Xenopus tropicalis: one gene and its partners. The protein of the gene in region 3 interacts with the protein of the main gene of each other region in a pairwise test. Links are inferred from orthologs where the notes say so. Each region holds a gene or a part of one and is shown on either strand. Other genes may lie near its edges.

The links.
Region 1: the proteins of emilin1 (region 3) and plac9 interact in binary tests that used the Homo sapiens proteins (3 or more experiments, as listed by UniProt). The two-hybrid records come from large-scale screens. The link is inferred for Xenopus tropicalis from reciprocal best matches to the Homo sapiens genes EMILIN1 and PLAC9.
Region 2: the proteins of emilin1 (region 3) and zc2hc1c interact in binary tests that used the Homo sapiens proteins (3 or more experiments, as listed by UniProt). The two-hybrid records come from large-scale screens. The link is inferred for Xenopus tropicalis from reciprocal best matches to the Homo sapiens genes EMILIN1 and ZC2HC1C.
Region 4: the proteins of emilin1 (region 3) and ift20 interact in binary tests that used the Homo sapiens proteins (3 or more experiments, as listed by UniProt). The two-hybrid records come from large-scale screens. The link is inferred for Xenopus tropicalis from reciprocal best matches to the Homo sapiens genes EMILIN1 and IFT20.
Region 5: the proteins of emilin1 (region 3) and mtmr9 interact in binary tests that used the Homo sapiens proteins (3 or more experiments, as listed by UniProt). The link is inferred for Xenopus tropicalis from reciprocal best matches to the Homo sapiens genes EMILIN1 and MTMR9.

Annotation. Positions count from the first base shown.
Region 1 is NC_030683.2:53,034,745-53,039,387, forward strand, and holds the start of plac9 (placenta-specific protein 9), read left to right. Parts: upstream 1-1,698; 5' UTR 1,699-1,937; coding exon 1,938-1,998; intron 1,999-4,643.
Region 2 is NC_030684.2:82,251,250-82,255,750, reverse strand, and holds the start of zc2hc1c (zinc finger C2HC domain-containing protein 1C), read right to left. Parts: upstream 2,896-4,501; coding exon 2,879-2,895; intron 1,929-2,878; coding exon 1,808-1,928; intron 804-1,807; coding exon 740-803; intron 1-739. Other genes in the region: acyp1 (acylphosphatase-1), read left to right, coding at 4,164-4,244.
Region 3 is NC_030681.2:161,480,887-161,485,361, reverse strand, and holds the start of emilin1 (EMILIN-1), read right to left. Parts: upstream 2,911-4,475; 5' UTR 1,546-2,910; coding exon 1,358-1,545; intron 1-1,357. UniProt on the Homo sapiens protein: Involved in elastic and collagen fibers formation. It is required for EFEMP2 deposition into the extracellular matrix, and collagen network assembly and cross-linking via protein-lysine 6-oxidase/LOX activity.
Region 4 is NC_030678.2:47,406,692-47,409,978, forward strand, and holds the end of ift20 (intraflagellar transport protein 20 homolog), read right to left. Parts: intron 2,913-3,287; coding exon 2,809-2,912; intron 2,141-2,808; coding exon 2,059-2,140; 3' UTR 1,248-2,058; exon of another isoform or gene 1,214-1,247; 3' UTR 832-1,213; downstream 1-831. UniProt on the Homo sapiens protein: Part of intraflagellar transport (IFT) particles involved in ciliary process assembly. May play a role in the trafficking of ciliary membrane proteins from the Golgi complex to the cilium.
Region 5 is NC_030681.2:150,908,191-150,912,850, forward strand, and holds the start of mtmr9 (myotubularin-related protein 9), read right to left. Parts: upstream 2,916-4,660; 5' UTR 2,807-2,915; coding exon 2,625-2,806; intron 1-2,624. UniProt on the Homo sapiens protein: Acts as an adapter for myotubularin-related phosphatases. Increases lipid phosphatase MTMR6 catalytic activity, specifically towards phosphatidylinositol 3,5-bisphosphate and MTMR6 binding affinity for phosphorylated phosphatidylinositols.

The DNA of each region.
Region 1 (4,643 bases), on a different chromosome or scaffold from region 3:
CCAAGAAATTGTTTATTTGTAGATTATAGATCAACAGATCCTTTAAATTACTTTTCAAAATGTATTCAATTACCCACATGCCAAATATAAGTTTCAGACATTTATAAATATTGGTTATGAAATGATTTGTCCAGTAGTGTTTGAAAAATGGTTCAGCTATGGAAAGCAATAGAACAGCCTCCAGTTACATCTGTATATATGTGCAGATAAAATAATGAACAATCTGTGCACTTAAATTAATAAATATAAACAGATTTTAACCTTCATTATTATAAAAGGAGTAGGAAAATGAAAATGTTAGGCACCCCAGTGCTTATATTCACTTACCTGACACCCCGGGTTGGTGTTCCTGTTAGCAAAAACACCGCACCGGCCAGGGGTACATGCAGGTGAGCAGTCCTCTTCCTTCAGTCTTGTTTCCTGAGTCAAAAAGTCTTCTTTTTTGTGAAATTTGTGAATACCATCACTGGGGGGTGCCTAACATTTTGAACATTCCTTCTCCTTTAAGGCATATACATATATATATATTTTAATATACATGATTTTTTGTCGAAGTAAATAAAAATGTTGCTTTTAATATGTTGTATACAAAATGTGATACAGCTGTTGCTGTTAATATCTTCTATAAAAGTAACTAACCTATAGTACATCAGCATTTTTGGGGCTGCTGTCACCCCCACGCGATCTGCGCTTACCTCTTCACCATCAGAGTGGGTCCAGGGGAGAAGCCACATCACTTAGCACTTCTTGCACTAGGGGAGCCAAATTTAAAAAAATAAAATTTGGCTCAAAGTTACCAAAGTCATTTTTTGTTGCCCTGGGTAACTGGCGGCTCAATGCCACCTGAGTCAAGGTTCTCATCTTGCCTCAATGGCAGAATTGCCCCTGCTATAGTAAGCTATTTTTTACCTACTTTTGGATAAGCTACTTAGGCAGGTTTAATTTTAACTTGAAAGGTTAAACTTAATGGACACGTGTCTTTTTTCACCTAAGTTACTATGTTGCTATTTAAGCTACAGCCATGTATATTGAATGCAAGTTACTAGTAACAAGCTATTAAAGAATTTGAGACAAGGTCTGAGAGGTTCCAGTGTGGGGCTTGTAAGTAACCCATATCGCATACAAACATAAAAGAAAATACATTTTGGCTCTTAAAAAAACTGAAAAATGCTGGCATTCATTATATTAACAGGAAACCCAAAAAATAATTTAATTCTAATTCTCTTTTTCAATATACATTATTGATTTTTACTGGTTTTAACTGTAAATGTATTTGCAGAGAGCATTATTTTACTGTATGTCTTATATTGCTGGATATGACTCTTGAAACAATGTAGTAAATTCCAACTCACCCCCAGCCAAAACTTGTTTTTTCAGCTGGCTTCTGCTACACTTCACTAGTCACTTCCAGCATGGGAGAATTGCAAGGGTTAGAGACATACTGCTCAACAGCAATTGAAAATAATTTGACAACTATCGAAAAATTGTAATTAGGAAATATTTCTTTTTGGGTTTACATCCCCTTTAATGTTATATGTTTTTTTTGTTCTATTTTTAATTTATAACAGGACCATGACCATAACCAAAAGGGTTAAAAAGTTTGATTCTTTTTACCCACTTTTCCTGAAAGGTTAAAGGCTGGCTTTTGAATTCCACGCACGCCCTGTGTGTATAAATACAGAGGGGAAGCTAGGAGTCACTCTGGATTCTTGCCAGCTTGCTGAACAACTGGGTCTGCTGTTTGAGAACTTTAAAAAACAATCCAGGCAGTTATGTGATTATTTCCTCTCCTTCCAGTTACAGGCAGGCGGCCCCTCTCCTCTCTCCCTTTCTGTGGCAGAGTGCTGCACTATATCCATCCACAGAATTCTGCTGATCGGAGAGCCTGAATCTCCTTGACTTTATTACTGGGAGTGAATTTTATACCTAACATCAACATGCGTATTCTTCTTGCTGCTGCTTTATTATTGCTGGGATTATTGGCTGGCAGTTTTACAGGTTAGTACAGATTTAAAACTGTTATAGTTAATATGTGGTTCGACTCAAAACTATGTTTCTTTCAGACAGGCAAACAAAGCAACTCTAAGGCTATCTTATCATTCAGTACTTATGTTTTTTGAGTTTTCAGTGACATACAATTTAACAAATAGATCATTAACAAGCATTGTTACATCTGTCAGATACAGTAACACCTCTTATACATGAAGTAAAAAGGCATGGATGGCTATTGGCTTGATTCTGTCACATTTGTCACATCACACTGAATTTTTGACTAATGGCAAAAGTTATTGGCACAGTTATTTCCAAAAAGTAGTACTCGTTAACGAATTCATGTAGCAACATCTAGCAAGCCTAATTCAGTGTATGTAGAATGATACTGGTAATAAATCTGTATTATTGCTAGTTTTGGTAAATCCTGAGGCACATTCTGCATTCAGATAAACACTATGGCTAAACAAATACAGTATAAGCATTTTATGTAGCCAAAAGTACCCTAAAAACCCTTTGTCACGTCATCAGTAGAAAGATTTACTGCCGAATTCTGGTGTCTTTGGAAGCAATGTCAGTACTAGAACTATTTGTTGGAAGGATGGCATTTTTAAGAGTGAACAGCTGCACACAAGCCTAACACAACCATGTGCAATGCAAAGCTTTGGCTTGAGAATAGTAAATATTGCCACCATTGGACGCTGGAGCAGTGGAAAGGCATTCTCTGGAATGACAGGTCATCATTTACTATTTAAAATTCTGACAGATTGTTTTCAAAGGATTCCACGAGAATGCTGGCTAGTGGAATGATTAATGCTGACCATAAAGTTTTGTGAAGGTGGAAACATGTTTTGACAATCCTTGTTATATGGAAAGAGTTTAGGTGGATGGCCCTTTTCTGTTGTAGCCCCTATACACAAAAGAAGAACTGTTTTGCTATGTCTGGAGTGGAACTTGACTGTCCTGAACAAAGCCCTCACCTCAACCCAAATGAATACCTCTGGGATCAGGGGCCTGTTGCCATGAAACAAGTTACTGTGGCAGCAAATATCCGCTCCTGATAACTTCCGATTTTTAAATTGGAATTTTGGCTCTTGTAGTGCACCTCTGCGATACTTTGAAAGGTAAGCATCAGGTGCAGGGGGGGGGGGGCATCTGAAAGACCACCTTAGGGCAGCATAGACCCCAGAAATGCCCCTGTCCAGGATGAAATGAGATGCCAGCTGCATGCTAGGCCTGAACACTCAGTGTTACAGGCCTAATGCCCTTGTTGATAAATAGAAGCATCATCCCCCCATGCACAACAGCATTTAGATGAAAGCAAGAGTTAAGAAAAAAGAAAACACTAAATGAAGGACCAACTGTATATTAATACCATTGCTGGGAAAGCAGGTGCCTGGTTACTTGTAGCCATATAGTGTTTAACCATTGACCACTGATAGTATAACCATTGACCCTTTAGGATATTTCCTCACTGACTATATTCCTAACATTCATACATCCAGGTTTTACAGATACTCTGTGTCTTTAGGTCCCATCTGTGTGCTCCCACTTATCAACCAATACTCTTTTGTCTTTTTTTAATCCCTTGGGACATTTCTGCTTAAAAGGCCCCAATCTTTTCCACAGAGCATTGTACCTTTGTTCCTTGTAAGTTATCAGGGCACATTCTACATTTACATTTTGTTCCATTGCATCACTCCTTACGTCCACCAGTGCCTCGTCTTGTAATCATAATTGGTTTTACTCTCAAGAACTAAGATTTTGAAAGTGACTTTTTGACCTGTGGAGGATAAAAGGAATCATATCTTAATAGCATATTCATCTCCATTTCTTTAGTAAAGAAAGCTGTGTGCAAAGTCTTTAACCTCCAAAAAAGGCTTCATGTCCAATATCAGGCTAGAAAAAAAAATCTAGTTATTATGTTGCTGCTGACAATACCAGAGCTTGAATGTCTGACAAGTGTTCTGCAAGTCATATAAAAATGTGGGTGAGGCATCCAAAGCATTACTTTCAGCCTCTGGCCCCTTCTGTGATGTGTACCCCATAGGAGAGTCTGTCATCTCCTGTTTCTCAGACCACTTTGCTAGCCGTCAAGGTGCATATTCCTGACAGACAGGGTCACTAAAAATGGAATAAAGGGCCATTTGCTCAGTGCTGCCATATCCCTTATTTTAATCAGGTAGGTTTTTTTTAGATGATGGCCTCTTTAAACAAGGTGTAGATACCTTTGAATGCATTCTACCATTCCATAGTGGGTCACTCTACAAAGGAAACATGATGGCTCCAGGCTCAAACACCATATCCATAATTCATCCAGAGGGTTGCTTCTCAAGTGGCCCTGCCATCCTGCCTGCCTTCACTACAGTTTAGAACTCCAGCACCACCTCTGCTGCAATTTGGCCTGTTTGGTCAAGTTAGTGATGTTTACTTCTGTCCTTAAGCTCCCTTATGAAGACGAGCCACATGTCTATGTCCTCAAACCCTTAAGATATGTCTTTGTAAATGGCCTTCTCTAGACAGAAGGCATGCAATGTCTAAATATTTGAACTAAGGTAAACACTCATTGGATGTCTTCTGTTCACCACAACTGTAAATCATTTTAAACTGTTACTAATGGTTTTCAGAACCTTTTTTTCTGATTTTCTTCCTTC
Region 2 (4,501 bases), on a different chromosome or scaffold from region 3:
CCCCATACACGGACCGATTCTAGCTGCCGATTCGGCAGCTAATTGGCCCGTGTATGGGCACTACCGAAGGGACTGCCCGACCGATATCGGGCAGGTTTAAAAATCTAGTCGGATCGGGGACCGTATCGGCTCGTTGATGCGTTCCCCGGACCGACTTTGCCTATGCCCAGGGCCAAACGATCTAATTAGCCTGGATTCTCACGATTTTGCCCCCGGTAGGTGGGGGACATTGGGAGAAGATCCGCTCGCTTGGCAACATCGCCAAGCGAGCGGATCTTTAGGTGTATGGGCACCTTAAATATCAGGTTCACAATGTAAATAAAAGCACTGCAACCTTAAAGGAGAACGAAAGGTAAAAATCACCAGCCCGGTGTAGCTGCAAGTGAGTGTTCCCTCTTCCTTCTGAATCCTGGGGCCGGTGCATGCGCAGTAGAGTGAAAAAACCAACTTTTTTGTTAAAGTTCTGCTTTTCACTCTACTGCGCACAAAGACAGAAGAAGGAAGAGGAGATGCTTGCTCACAGCTACCCCGGGCTGATGCGGTTTTCTTCTAACAGAAGCACCAGCCCAGGGTCAAAAGTAAACAATAAGTCACTGGGGGGTGCCTAACATTTTGGCATCCCCCAGTGACATAGCCTTTCCTTCTCCTTTAAAGGGGAATTTCACATTTGTTAATTATGTTAGAGAATGGCCTATTCTTAACAACTTTTCAATCAGGATTCATTTTATATTCCTCTTACAGGTGTCTGTCGGACACAGGGACCACGCCTTCAAGTATAGCATCCACAGCCAGGAGGCAGGACACTGAAGAAGAGAAAAATATGCTCCTCCTCCCTGCTGCTATACCCCTCACTACTTCCTGAACCCTTCAGTTTTTTTCAGTGTTAAAGAGACAGGGTAGAGTGTACCAAACTCAACAGGGGTTGACCGAGCGAACTCCCCTCTTTAGTGGCTTCCCCTTGGTGGGCTCGCTGGTGCTGGGACTAACAACTCCTCCTAAGGAGCTGTCCACTGCAGAATCCCTGACTCCCAATCAAGGGGAGTCTGAAGCTGTACAGCATACCAGCGAAAGGGTAAGGTTACTATCCACCTTTACGCAGACTTTCTCAGGATGCTCCCTGAATACTCCCCTCAACTCTGCATTCTCCCGCTTTCCAACAAAGTCACCGCCCAGAAAACCCTCTGCTCTCCATCTGATCCTGAGGGCAGCACTATCAGGGCAGTACGTGCTTCTAATCATAACCATCCAGCAGAGCAAGAGACAGGCACTAGGGAGGGTATATTTCTTCACCATTTAGGAACAAGACTGATTCTAAGTCTTACAACACAGTCTTACTGAGGGCAGTACTGAGGGATCATTCTCAAGGAGGAGCTTTTCTCAATCCAAGGGTAAATACCTTGTTTGTGCAAAATTATAAACATTCCATGAGGAATGTCCCTACCCCAGTGAAAATATATATATATATATATATATATATATATATATATATATAATTCATCAAACTCAACAGTAGAAAGCACTCACAGCTACAGCATCAATCAGGTCAGTGATTTATTTCAGCATACCATCTACGCGTTTCGATCACCACAGGATCGTCATCATCCTGATGACGATCCTGTGGTGATCGAAACGCGTAGATGGTATGCTGAAATAAATCACTGACCTGATTGATGCTGTAGCTGTGAGTGCTTTCTACTGTTGAGTTTGATGTATTATTTTTGTCAGCACCCAGCCTGTGCCCGATACTGGTGAGTGCCGATTCTTTGCAACACTATATATATAATTCAGTAGAAAATACTATCATTACCTCTTTGTTATACAAAACTGAAGGGTTCAGGAAGTAGTGAGGGGTATAACAGCAGGGAGGAGGAACATTTTCTTCTTTAGTATCCAGTCTCTGGGTGGTGGATGCTGTATCCCGTAGACGTCTTAAGAGAAAAGAATTTAATGATAAGTAAAACAAAATTCTCTTTTTACATTCTTGAATTATTTGACTTGCTCTTCTGCTCGTTTCCAGCTTTCCATTCGAGGGGGGGGTGCAATTTAAATGCAATCTTCACAATTCCCAATATTCAAGCACCGCTTTCTACGGGTTTAACTATACAACCAGCATTCCCATGCGTTCTGGTTTGTCAGGGTGTCATAACATCACAAACTCATTATACAGAGAGCGTATTTCTGGGCTGCTAGTGTGTTTTACAAGCTTGTCCCATGAAAACAGTGACTTGGCATAAACAAGGTGTGCTAAAGTTAAGAGGTTTTTTTTATGTTGTTGTTTAGTCCAAGAAATAACAATAAACAGTGGTTTCTTAATTTAAACAAAAGACAAAAAGTAAGCCTAGCACAAGCCCTAATTATTGAGCTGTTTGAAAAAGGTTAAAGGGGTGGTTCACCCTTAAGTTAACTTTTAGTATGTTATAGAAAGGCCAATTCTAAGCAACTTTTCAATCAGTCTTCATTATTTGTTTTTCATAGTTTTTTAACAGAGTAGTCACAGTACTCACACCTATTCTCATTTTCCTTAATCAGGAAAGTGACACAGTGAGTGTATATACGCGTATATACGTCAAAGCTAGAGAAATATATAGAGCTCTGACACACAATCCAATTGTTACCAACATCTTACAGATAGGGAAAAGGCAAAAAGGCCCAGTGCAACCCACGGTTATACTATACAGTATAATATCAACACTCCTGCGCATAATGCTTTGTGGCCTAATCATGTTGCTATTAAACCTAACCTGAGTATTAGGCGTGCATTAGCATATATGCCTCTATACCGTCGTATAATTGATAACACCGACTAAATATAAAGCCTGCCAACTATACTGTGCCCACCACTTCCCAAACCTACCAGTTGCTCTCGCTCTTCTTCTACCTCCGCGCTGTATCCATGGTTGCTAGGAAACAACTGGCGCAGCCAAACTACGTGTGCGAGTGGTGACGCAATATTCTGGGCGCCGCAGGAAAAGAAGGCTGGGTTTGTCCGACCGCTGCTATAGTAACGGAGGTTAGTTCTTACAAGACTGGCTGCATCTAACAAATTACTCTAGCTACTGAAAAAAATTAATTTGGGATATTATTTTTGTTTAACAAACATAGTTTCCGTTGCCCTTTTATACGTTAAAACACGTAGAAAATAGGGTTGATGTTTTGCACCTGTGAAGTAGAAGAAGAAAAGACGCTAGCCATTTATATTCTAGAGGGGAAGTAACAGTGTCAATATTATCGGTGCAAAACTGCATATTTTCATCTATAAATAATGGAAATCAGCGTACCCTATAATTTCTTGAATACTATTTGAACAAAAATCATTGCATGCAGGAAGTTGGGGGTGTTTTCATGCAGGACTGTGTCAAAACGTTTGGCAAAGTAGATCACATCTACTACATTTGTCCTCATGATGATATGGCTGCAGCTGCTGTGGAACGATTGTTTGCTACCTTGAGGAAACCAAGGTTTTCCAGAGAATTGCCCAGGTGTTGGACATACTATCTAGCCTTTTCTCCATATGGTCTGTATTCTGTACAAATAAGTAGTATCTGTTTAATTCTAGTAACTCTCCAGTCTTAGCAAAATAAAGTTCTGAATGGTTCTTCCTTAGGATCTATGACCACATTTAGCAATTTCTGTAGCTTTCTGGTGTGCTGGGAATTTATTGCTTCATTTTCAAAGGTATTCATCATGTGCTAATTGTCTATATATGTATTTTATACCACAACAATGTGCATATCTAATTCAATATTTTAACATTTTTATACTTTTACTATACATGTCTAATAAGTAACCATTATCACCTCAACTCCCTATTTATTTCCATAAAGCATACAGTATATGCTAATGCCCTGGTTTTAAAAATAGCTCATTGCAGTGCAGGTAAATCATTGGTGGGATTTGTGTATTTTAAGCACTGTGAAAGGTTAAAGTGACTGGCAAATTCTGACTAAGACTGCTTTTCTGTTTACCTGGGCAACCCTCTAAATGCATATGGGAGGGAGCACACTCCATTATAATAGACAATTTTTTCCCCTAAAAATGTCATACATTTTGTTTTTAAGGCTTGTTCAGAAGTTTAGCTCTGAACAAACCTTATAAGCTCTTGTTGTTTTTTTTTTTTAAGGCTTGTTCAGAAGTTTAGTTCCCTGTTGCATTTAAGGGGGAGCATGGCTGAGGAAGAGCCAATCTCTGTGGATTATGAAGTGTTTGGAAAGGTACAAGGTGTTTTCTTTCGCAAGTACACCCAGGTAATTTGACATCCAGGTACCATTATTTCATATCAATTCAGTTTACCCTTTTCTTTATTTACAGTGTATTCCTCTGTCATGTATATATTAGGCCAGTGAGCAACATGTTTCTCACCAAACCCATTGATGTTATTCCCAGTGGCCTCAAAGTAGGTGCCAAATTTCTGGCTTGGAGAAAAATTTTGGAAGCAGAGACACAATTTTACTCCAACAGAGCCTCCAGCAGGCTAGCAATCCATATGGGGCTACCAAATAGC
Region 3 (4,475 bases):
ACCACCCCCTGGCCTCCCTGCTAGCCATACAAAGTAGAGTACCACCCCCTGGGCTCCCTGCTAGCAATACAGAGTAGAGTACCACCCCCTGGGCTCCCCTGCTAGCAATTACAGAGTAGAGTACCACTCCCGGGCTTCCCTGCTAGCAATACAGAGTAGAGTACCACCCCTGGGTTCCCTGCTAGCAATACAGAGTAGAGTACCACCCCTGGGCTCCCTGCTAGCCATACAGAGTAGAGTACCACCCCCTGGTTCCCTGCTAGCAATACAAAGTAGAGTACCACCCCCTGCTCCCTGCTAGCAATACAGAGTAGAGTACCACCCCTGGTTCCCTGCTAGCAATACAGAGTAGAGTACACCCCCCTGGGCTCCCTGCTAGCAATACAGAGTAGAGTACCACCCCCTGGGCTCCCTGCTAGCCATACAAAGTAGAGTACCACCCCCTGGGCTCCCTGCTAGCAATACAGAGTAGAGTACCACCCCCGTCCCTGCTAGCAATACAGAGTAGAGTACCACCCCCTGGGTTCCCTGCTAGCAATACAGAGTAGAGTACCACCCCTGGGCTCCCTGCTAGCAATACAGAGTAGAGTACCACCCCTGGGCTCCCTGCTAGCCATACAAAGTAGAGTACCACCCCCTGGGCTCCCTGCTAGCAATACAGAGTAGAGTACCACCCCCTGGGCTCCCTGCTAGCAATACAGAGTAGAGTACCACCCCCCGGGCTCCCCTGCTAGCAATACAGAGTAGAGTACCACCCCCTGGGCTCCCTGCTAGCAATACAGAGTACAGTACCACCCCCTGGGCTCCCTGCTAGCCATACAAAGTAGAGTACCACCCCCTGGGCTCCCTGCTAGCAATACAGAGTAGAGTACCACCCCCTGGGCTCCCTGCTAGCAATACAGAGTAGAGTACCACCCCCTGGGCTCCCTGCTAGCAATACAGAGTAGAGTACCACCCCCTGGGCTCCCTGCTAGCAATACAGAGTAGAGTACCACCCCCCGGGCTCCCTGCTAGCAATACAGAGTAGAGTACCACCCCCTGGGCTCCCTGCTAGCAATACAGAGTAGAGTACCACCCCCTGGGCTCCCTGCTAGCCATACAAAGTAGAGTACCACCTCCTGGGCTCCCTGCTAGCCATACAAAGTAGAGTACCACCCCCTGGGCTCCCTGCTAGCAATACAGAGTAGAGTACCACCCCCTGGGCTCCCTGCTCACGTAGTAGTTCAGATCTCACGTTTTCCAGCTGCAGAGAATCAGCACATGTGGTTTGCACTACGGCCAATACCTGGAGCTCCAGTGGCCCCCCCAGTACCTCAGAAGCTTTATACATGAAATGACTGGCATGCTGGGTACTTACCTGTGCCTGCTGGCCGCCCGAAGTCCATTTTGTGCCTGAGTTACCCCTTGTGCAGTCATCACTTGGGTTTGAGGGGCAGCTCCCCCCGTATAAAGGTTATAGCGGGAGGGGAAGTTTGTGGGGTGCACCCCCCTCACATTTATACAGATTACACAGCTGAGTAGGAGCAACAGAGTCCTGACGCCCATTTTTAGGGCTGAGAATCAGCAGAGCAAATGCCTGAAAGAGACACAATGTATTATAATCCCACAGCTCCCGGCAAAGACCCAGCGGTCTCTCAGCAGAACATCAGTGGTACTGATCCAAAATGAGCCTTCCTCAGTGGTCAGTATGAACGTATAGGGATTAGAATCACCTTCAGCAGTCCCTATATCCACATGTAGACCAAATGACCTCTCCAGTGGTTTCTATATCCTGCTGTAGATCAGAGCGAGGTCTCCCGTGGCCAAAATATCCTCATAGAGATCAGGGCGAGGTCTCCAGTGGCCAATAGATCCTCATAGAGATCAGAGTGAGGTCTCCAGTGGCCAGTAGATGCTCATAAAGATCAGAGTGAGGTCTCCAGTGGCCAATAGATCTTTACAGAGATCAGAGTGAGGTCTCCAGTGGCCAATAGATCCTCATAGAGATCAGAGTGAGGTCGCCAGTGGGCAGTAGATCCTCATAGAGATCAGAGTGAGGTCTCCAGTGGCCAATAGAACCTCATAGAGATCAGAGTGAAGCCCCAAGTGGTCAGTAGATCCTCACATCAGAGGAAGGTCTTCAGCTGCAGTCTGAAAATGCTCCCTGGTGGTTCCTCCAAGCAGATCCACAGGACTTCTTTGTGGGCTTGGTTCCTCCAATCATGTGCCTCCAACATACAGACTCCGTAACCGTTACAGTCTGCAGCCCCCACTCACCTTTAGATCAGAGAGGGACTATTTTGTGCTCTCCCTTCTACTATCTCCTCAACATCTCCACATTGGTGAGAGTTGTCTCAGTGCTGATGTCTCCCCAGGTCTCAATGCTGATGTCTCTCCAGGTCTCAGTACTGATGTCTCTCCAGGTCTCAGTACTGATGTCTCCCCAGGTCTCAATGCTGATGTCTCCCCAGGTCTCAGTACTGATGTCTCCCCAGGTCTCAGTGCTTATGTCTCCCCAGGTCTCAGTGCTGATGTCTCCCCAGGTCTTAGCTCTGATATCTCTCCAGGTCCAATTAGAACTCAGCGTTAGTGCCCATGAAGCTCCCAGCTGGACCAGTCGTGCTCAGTTCCAGATGTGCCCCGTGACCCGTCGGTGTGTTCTCGCTCAGGACTCCCCAGTGAGACTGCAGGGCTACTATTTGTAGACAGTTGTTGTCGTCACCAGCTGCGGTCACGTCTGAGAGTAGTTGAAGAGACACAAGCAAAGATGGACCCAGTCGGTCGGTGCTGATCCAGTTGCAGCTCTCGTTCCCGGGATAAGTTTGATGGGAAGTTTAGTTAATTGTTGGGGTGTCGTTATCTCCCCCTGCACCCCTGACTGCTGTCACCCCCAGCACAGAGAGACCCCCAGCCCGAGCCCACCCCAGCCAGCATCCAGCACTCCAAGGAGACAGTAATGAGATTCCCCCATAGCAAGAGACTGACCAGGAGGGGGAGGAGAGGAGGAGAGAGGGAAATCCTAAAAGGAGAGAAAGATGCAGAATCCCCCCCCCCCCCCCCCCCTTGGCCAACTTCCTGCCCCGCTCTCAGGATTAGATCCAGATTAACCCTCACAATGCTCACTACTGTGCAACCCCGGCTCCCCCCCCTCGGCCAGACTTGCCCTAATGAGCCAGATGTGGCTTTGTATCAGTCCTTGTAAGAGCCCAATGTGCCCCTGGATTCTGGGGGGGCTGCGGGCGCTTTATGGGGTTACGGTGCTCATGTGACCCCCCCCCCGGTGCTGTAGCCCAGGCACAGGGTAAATGCCCTTGGGTGCTGGAACAAAAGTAGAACAAGAGGTGCCTGTTACAGGGACCCCCACCCAAATCCCCCTATGCACTAGTGCTCAATCCAGCCAATCAGCAGGCAGCATTCTTTCCCCAGAATTCCAGCCAATAGCCAGTGCCCGCAGGCTACCGAGCAGCACAACTCACCCCGGCTGGGGCACCATTATTTGTATGTGAGTCACTAAGTGCCAGTCAGTTGCACGTGGAGGGGCAATAAATGCTGCCCAGGGCAATACTACTTGGCCAGGTACCCCATTAGCCCATTCTCCCCCACTAATTCCCCCCAACCCACCGCCGCTATAGCACCTCACAACTGTAACTGGTCTGTGTGCCCTGGCAACCAGCAATGGCACCCTGAAAGGAACATGTCCCTATGGAAGTCATCCCTTCACCTAATGCCAATGCATCCCACGTATGTAACATATATACAGTATGTCCCACGTATGTAACATATATACAGTATGTCCCACGTATGTAACATATATACAGTATGTCCCACGTATGTAACGTATATACAGTAAGTCCCACGTATGTAACATATATACAGTATGTCCCACGTATGTAACATATATACAGTAAGTCCCACGTATGTAACGTATATACAGTAAGTCCCACGTATGTAACATATATACAGTATGTCCCACGTATGTAACATATATACAGTAAGTCCCACGTATGTAACATATATACAGTAAGTCCCACGTATGTAACGTATATACAGTAAGTCCCACGTATGTAACGTATATACAGTAAGTCCCACGTATGTAACATATATACAGTATGTCCCACGTATGTAACATATATACAGTATGTCCCACGTATGTAACATATATACAGTATGTCCCACGTATGTAACATATATACAGTATGTCCCACGTATGTAACATATATACAGTATGTCCCACGTATGTAACATATATACAGTATGTACAGTAAGTCCCACGTATGTAACATATATACAGTATGTCCCACGTATGTAACATATATACAGTAAGTCCCACGTATGTAACATATATACAGTATGTCCCACGTATGTAAACCATAATAACAGTATGTCCCACGTATGTAACATATATACAGTATGTCCCACGTATGTAACGTATATAAGTATGTCCTACGTATGTAACGTATATACAGTATGTCCTACGTATGTAACGTATATACAGT
Region 4 (3,287 bases), on a different chromosome or scaffold from region 3:
GGGACAATCTTTAGGGAAACATTTTTTTGTTGGGGCAAATATAATCATTGGGGAAGGGATGTGGGTTGATCTATACATTCGCAAATAATTAGTTGTCCTTAGCAGTATCTGTTCTTAGTTAGTGCCGCTCAACAGGTTGCAGACTCCCGTGGTGGCTGCATATAGTTACAAATATGATAATTAATTTACCCGGAGAGCACAATAAGCCTTATAGCTTCATTACAGTGACTTGTGACTTTATTGTGGAGACTTCATGCACTACATGTTTTACCTCAACAGCCTTCTTCAGGTGCTTGAAATGCATGAGGTCTCCACAATAAAGTCGCTGTGATGAAGCTATAAGGCTCATTGTGCTCTCCGGGTAACTGAATTATTGTATTTGATTTATACATGTTTACTCTGTATTCCTAAGCACCCAGAGATCAAACCAATGTAGTTGTGCTTTAGTACTTGCCCCATGAGGGGGGAGCTTTTTTTTATTTTTTGCTAACAGCACAATTTTGCAGAAAATTAGAGTGAACAAACTATAATTTAGAGAAAAAGAACTATATCAGATTCCCTAAAGTTCTCTCCAAATCTAAGCGGCTATGGAGAAACAGTGGCAGGGAGTAGATACATTTTATGTTGAATGTGGTCTCACCAAAGATGTCTACTGTCAATAAGTACATAAGCCGAGCATCAAAAGGTAACTAGTTTCCAATATTGGAATTGTGTAACAAGCTGTGAGGCACCTTTTGCTGTTGCTGCTATCTGCACCCTGTCCCTTCTGCTCACTTGTACACTGGCATTAACAATTGCCTAAAGAACAGAAGCACAGTTGAAGCATTGTGATACATTTTTCTTTTTTTATAAATCGAGGCAAATTAAATGTACACAAAAAAGCATCCATATAAAACATTTGTTTCTATGCACTGAGAGCACAATACTTATCCATCCACTGATCAACAGCACTCCAAGCAATTTAACATGTGCAAATAAATGATATAAAATGAGATACATTAAAAACTAAACAAATCCAACTCCAGTTTCAGTCACGACCAACATGTATGTAGAAACGTACCAATAAAAACGTTACCCGTCGCCGTTGCTCGGCTTTTTCAATACTTCTGATTTAAGATGAACTGTGGGGTATTTTCCCCTGATGAACAAGAACACACTATAGAAATGTTGTTGCTAAAGTACCAATGATGTACGTGTGTGTGTGTGTGTGTGTGTGTGTGTGTATATATATATATATATATATATATATATATATAGGCAAATTTTGCTGTCATTCTCTTCACATTTCCAATTATAATAACCGCCCATCTCTGCAAAGCGTTTAAATCTGTTTCTCTCAAACTGTGAGGCTATTTTTAAGATGTGAGTTGTCCCCATATGCACATAAGCATACATGGAGCAAAGTTGCTCTTCTTACAGCGTTTTCTGCAAAGGCAATGTCAAAAATATATATAACCGTAATCTTTACAGACATGCAAAGCCCTGCCTATAACTTCACAGTGATGATTCAAGTGGGTGAGATATCGGTGAAAACAGGGTTTAGATAACCTTAGGTGGGGTAAGCTGAGCCAAAATATGCCAGCATAATCCCTGCTAAGCGGCTATTACTGATGCATGACTGTTCATTGCAGGAAATACACATTCTTAAATGTGCTGATGTGTTGCATTAAATACATTGTGTCCAGCATCTAATAACTGTACTTAAACTATGGTTTAAAAAGCACTTGGGCAGATAGAAAGTATAATAATACATTTTAATGTTTAACAATGATTTAAAAATAGGCTTGTATCTCTTAAAGCTTCTTGACCGGTTACTTGCTGGAGAGAAATGCTGGTTTTGTTCTTTTACGATGAAATGTCTGAAACAGCAGAGCTTGGTCAGGTGTCCGAGAATGCTTTAGACAAAAGGAGCAAGTAGTATTGAGGAATGTTTTATTGAACAGTGCTGCAATGTCCAACTGGAATTGCAATGAAATGTGTGTACTGAGAAGAAATTCTTGCTGGGAAAATAAAGCGACCCGCGCAGTCAGCCAGAGCAATCACAGCCTGCAAGTGGTGCTATTTCTGGAGGTTAAATTGATCAATAAATTCATTTTGTTCAGCTTCCACTTTACACAGTGCCTCGTATTCTATTCGGTACCTGAAAGAAAGGAACAATAGAAATCATTATCCAGGAAGCTCCCAGATATAGAAGAGCCATTTCCCATTATGTCCTACTTATAGGGGACATCTGCACACCCATATAACTTCATTTAATATTGCTCTTATAGGCACATTTGCAGTTACCATATGTGTGTGTGTGTGTGTGTATATTATATGTGCGTTTTTTTTTTTTTTTTTTAATTTCATGTTAGCAGTTTTAACCCTGCTAATATAAAGAATGTGTAACCGAAGCACCCTTTGTTGTGGGGGCATTTTATATCTTATAGGGTGCCCCTTTCTCTACTCCAAAACATGACACATTGCAGTTATCCTCAACCTATCCCAGGCTGTGCCTTGTATTCATTATGTTCCATTCAAGCTAAACGTTTGTCTATAAATTATTCATGGAGAAAATATCTTCCTCCAGCTTTATATATACTGACAGACCACCGCCATCATCCTTCTTCAATTAAAAGGCTAATCCAGAGAAGTCTTGCTGCTGATGACAATTGGTGGAGCAAATAACAAAGTTGGTAGAGTTAATATTTGCACAAACTGTTCCTCAGGCTGCACCACCCACCTTATGCACAAATAAGCAAATAAATGCAACTTATGACTAAACTGAATACATACAGGCACAGGATTTGCCCATTGGTAAATACATACCTTTCTAGTTGCATTTTCTTCTCTGCTATTAAGGCATACAGTTGCTGCTGCTGGGCTTCTCTTTGCTTTGCTATAGATTTTAATAAGTTCCGGGCACCTATTGCCTATTAATGAAATAAATACATTATTATTTAAATGTTTGGCCATACACTCAGCTGATCATTGTGCTGTGGGACTACCAAGCACTATTCAAGACAAAGTATTTCTACAGCAGATTGATTGCTGTGCTCTGTGACCAAAGTGTATTACTAGCAGTTAAATCAAATGAAAAGCTGCATAGCATTGCATCTAAGAATGCATCGTAACGCATATATTGTGCTACTAAAACTAAGCTTGCTTTTGTTTACCACAAAACTCTCTATTGTATTATCAAGTGTCAAGTGCAAAAAATGCCCCAATGCAGAAAAGAAAACACGACTGCAATTAAAAATAAATTCTGACCACATAAGTACAAACAGACAGAATATAATGGAATTAAT
Region 5 (4,660 bases), about 11 Mb from region 3:
CAGTGACTGCTAATATCCTTATCATTTACAGTAGGGGGGACATTATCCCTTATAATACATGAGTGATACTCAGAGTTCCCTGTATAACTCAGCCTGCAGCCTTGTGCCTTTATATGGGCACAGAACCCCTCAGTGACTGCTAATATCCTTATCATTTACAGTAGGGGGTACATTATCCCTTATAATACATGAGTGATACTCAGAGTTCCCTGTATAACTCAGCCTGCAGCCTTGTGCCTTTATATGGGCACAGAACCCCTCAGTGACTGCTAATATCCTTATCATTTACAGTAGGGCAGTGCTGTCCAACTTCTGCGGTGCCGAGGGCCGGAATTTCTCTCGCATACATGGTGGAGGGCCGCTAATGGAAGCCAGTTTTGGCCACTCCCCCATTTTAAACCACACCCATTTTATCACAATGGTCGCTGCAGGGATATCAACCATCATTCATATGTTAAAGAATTATATTATGTCATATTAAGACATACCCTTAAATCCATATGCCTCCTCCCCTGTGTGTAGCACAGCAACCCCCAGCACATAATTACACACCTTAGGGACCATATAATGACTATTTCCAACTGCTAACAAACTCCCACAAACCCCTGCCAGGTTCACCTCCCACAGGCAGCATAGGGTAGGCAGAGTATGGCACACACAGGCAGCACTCTGCCTGTCCTATGCTGCCTGTGTGTTCCATACCCTCCCTGCCCTATACTGTCTATGTACCATACTATGCCTACCCTATGCTGCCTGAGTGTGCCATACCCTCCCTGCCCTATGCTGCCTATGTGCTATACGCAGGCAGCATAGGCCAGGCAGTACATACAATGTCTGAGGTGTGAAGAGGTGAACAATGTGGGTGATTACAGCCTGAGCCTGAGGTGTGAACACTGCAGGGGTAGAACAATGCAGAGATTAAAAGGTGTGAACAACACAGGGGATTACAGCCTGAATCTGAGGTGATAACCATGCGGGGGGCAGTTAATCTCAGTACTGATACCATTTAAAGCTTACACAAAGTTAAGCCATCAAAGCAGCCAGACAGGTGGGGGGCCACACAGAGGGGGGTCGAGGGCCGCATGCCGCCCGCGGGCCGCCAGTTGGACAGCCCTGCAGTAGGGGGTACATTATCCCTTATAATACATGAGTGATACTCAGAGTTCCCTGTATAACTCAGCCTGCAGCCTTGTGCCTTTATATGGGCACAGAACCCCTCAGTGACTGCTAATATCCTTATCATTTACAGTAGGGGGTACATTATCCCTTATAATACATGAGTGATACTCAGAGTTCCCTGTATAACTCAGCCTGCAGCCTTGTGCCTTTATATGGGCACAGAACCCCTCAGTGACTGCTAATATCCTTATCATTTACAGTAGGGGGTACATTATCCCTTATAATACATGAGTGATAGTCAGAGTTCCCTGTATAACTCAGCCTGCAGCCTTGTGCCTTTATATGGGCACAGAACCCCTCAGTGACTGCTAATATCCTTATCATTTACAGTAGGGGGTACATTATCCCTTATAATACATGAGTGATACTCAGAGTTCCCTGTATAACTCAGCCTGCAGCCTTGTGCCTTTATATGGGGGGCACAGAACCCCTCAGTGACTGCTAATATCCTTATCATTTACAGTAGGGGGTACACTATCCCTTATAATACATGAGTGATACTCAGAGTTCCCTGTATAACTCAGCCTGCAGCCTTGTGCCTTTATATGGGCACAGAACCCCTCAGTGACTGCTAATATCCTTATCATTTACAGTAGGGGGTACATAATCCCGTATAATACATGAGTGATACTCAGAGTTGCCTGTATAACTCAGCCTGCAGCCTTGTGCCTTTATATGGGCACAGAACCCCTCAGTGACTTTTAATATCCTTATCATTTACAGTAGGGGTACATTATCCCTTATAATACATGAGTGATACTCAGAGTTCCCTGTATAACTCAGCCTGCAGCCTTGTGCCTTTATATGGGGGGCACAGAACCCCTCAGTGACTGCTAATATCCTTATCATTTACAGTAGGGGTACATTATCCCTTATAATACATGAGTGATACTCAGAGTTCCCTGTATAACTCAGCCTGCAGCCTTGTGCCTTTATATGGGCACAGAACCCCTCAGTGACTGCTAATATCCTTATCATTTACAGTAGGGGGTACACTATCCCTTATAATACATGAGTGATACTCAGAGTTCCCTGTATAACTCAGCCTGCAGCCTTGTGCCTTTATATGGGGGGCACAGAACCCCTCAGTGACTGCTAATATCCTTATCATTTACAGTAGGGGGTACATTATCCCTTATAATACATGAGTGATACTCAGAGTTCCCTGTATAACTCAGCCTGCAGCCTTGTGCCTTTATATGGGCACAGAACCCCTCAGTGACTGCTAATATCCTTATCATTTACAGTAGGGGGTACATTATCCCTTATAATACATGAGTGATACTCAGAGTTCCCTGTATAACTCAGCCTGCAGCCTTGTGCCTTTATATGGGGGGCACAGAACCCCTCAGTGACTGCTAATATCCTTATCATTTACAGTAGGGGGTACATTATCCCTTATAATACATGAGTGATACTCATTGTCCCTGTATAACAGGACTGACCGCTTCTCTATGGAGTCGATGTTGGCGTGTAGAAGCCAGAGCTCCTCGCTGTTGTCCTGCCGGGAGCTGAGGATGAGGTGGTGCCCGGTGAGACAGAGGGTGCCCCACACCGGGGAGTGGAAGGGCCGGTGTAGAACCACATTATCCACCCGAGGAGTCTTAATCAGCTCGGCGAACTCCATCCCGGCGGCGGGACAAGGCGCTAGGGAGAAATCACTGAGCGGATTCCCTCAGGCTCATTCCTGTCAGTGAGACACCCAGCAGCTCCGGGTTCCGCCCAACGCGCATGCGCGGCCACCGAGCCGGAAGTTTACAGACCCAAAGCGGAAGGGGCGGGATAACCCGCGTCAACTTGTGTTCTGAGGTAGTTTGTGCCTTCAGTTTCCCAAGCAGGGGAGGCTTTGCACCAGAAGTGGTTAGACTACTATCTATACATATAGTTTGTAGAGCAGTATTTGTTTTTAACGCACTGGTTTGGAAACAGTATAGCAAAAAACATTTTCTCTTCAGCTCTGTATAGGGAACAAAGCGATGCATAACTCCCAACAGTTGAAAAAAAGAAATGACTGTAGCTTGGCAACATTTTTGTGACCACGCCCCCTAAATCCCACTCCCATATGACTCCATTTGGCAGGTTATTTATAGTTTCAACACATTTCTGGGGGGGTCCTGTTTTATGTGTTATTAGAGTTTGCTAATGAAGGTGAAGTTGCCCTTTAATGAGTCTCCGTTCCCCCAAGAGACCTGTTTAGCTTATTAGTTACAATTGTATCTCAGTGCAGGGGGGGGGTTTACCTTTCTGGGCTCTGCCAAATGCTACTTATTTAATTAAATGTGGGAAACACTGTATCTAAGTGCAAGTTAAGATTTCTGGGCTCTCTGCCAAAAGCTACTTTTAATTAAATTTGTATCTTTTTTAGCTTCAGTGCAGGAGATCAAAGGGAAATGAGGGACTTTTCAGTGAGAATCCGAGACTGTCCAGCGAATAATAGGACAGTTGAGAGTTATGGTTACAATTGTATCTCAGTGCAGGAGGTGAGTATTCTAGGCTCTGTCAAAAGCTACTTATCTAATTAAGTTTGAGAAACTTTGTATCGTTTTTGACTTTCAATGGGAAATGAGGGACTTTTTAATAAGAACCCAGGACTGTGGGCTGAGCTGTTAAAATTGCGACTGTCCCAAAAATATCTGGAAAGTTGGAAGGTATGAACATAGGTCAGAGACTCACCACTCAACCCAACCACTAACCTATAAAATGTAGGAGGAGGATGCACTTCCCCAGTCTGACCCGCACCCTGCCCAATCCTGCAATCCCTGCCCAATCCTGCAATGGCTGCCCAATCCTTTCAACCAGCAAGTAAACCCAAACATCACTGTAACAAAGGCAGATACAAAGAACACATCCCCGTAAACATCTAGAAGGCATTATATTTCTACAGGGGTATCTAATGCTGTGGCACCTTCCATGGCAGGGTAATCCAGTCTGGGCTTGGCATGGAAACAGTTACATGGGCAAAATAAGAAGGGAACATTGCTTATAGGAGACATTGCTTCTAGCCCTAGATTATATGGGGTATTGCTTCTAGCCCTAGATTATAGGAGACATTGCTTGTAGCCCTAGATTATAAGGGGCATTGCTTCTAGCCCTAGATTATAGGGGGCATCGCTTCTAGCCCTAGATTATATGGGGTATTGCTTCTAGCCCTAGATTATAGGGGGCATTGCTTCTAGCCCTAGATTATAGTGGGCATTGCTTCTAGCCCTAGATTATAGGAGGCATTGCTTCTAGCCCTAGATTATAGGAGGCATTGCTTCTAGCCCTAGATTATAGGAGGCATTGCTTCTAGCCCTAGATTATAGGGGGCATTGCTTCTAGCCCTAGATTATAGGAGGCATTGCTTCTAGCCCTAGATTATAGGAGACATTGCTTCTAGCCCTAGATTATAGGAGGCATTGCTTCTAGCCCTAGATTATAGGGGGCATTGCTTCTAGCCCTAGATTATAGGAGGCATTGCTTCTAGCCCTAGATTATAGGA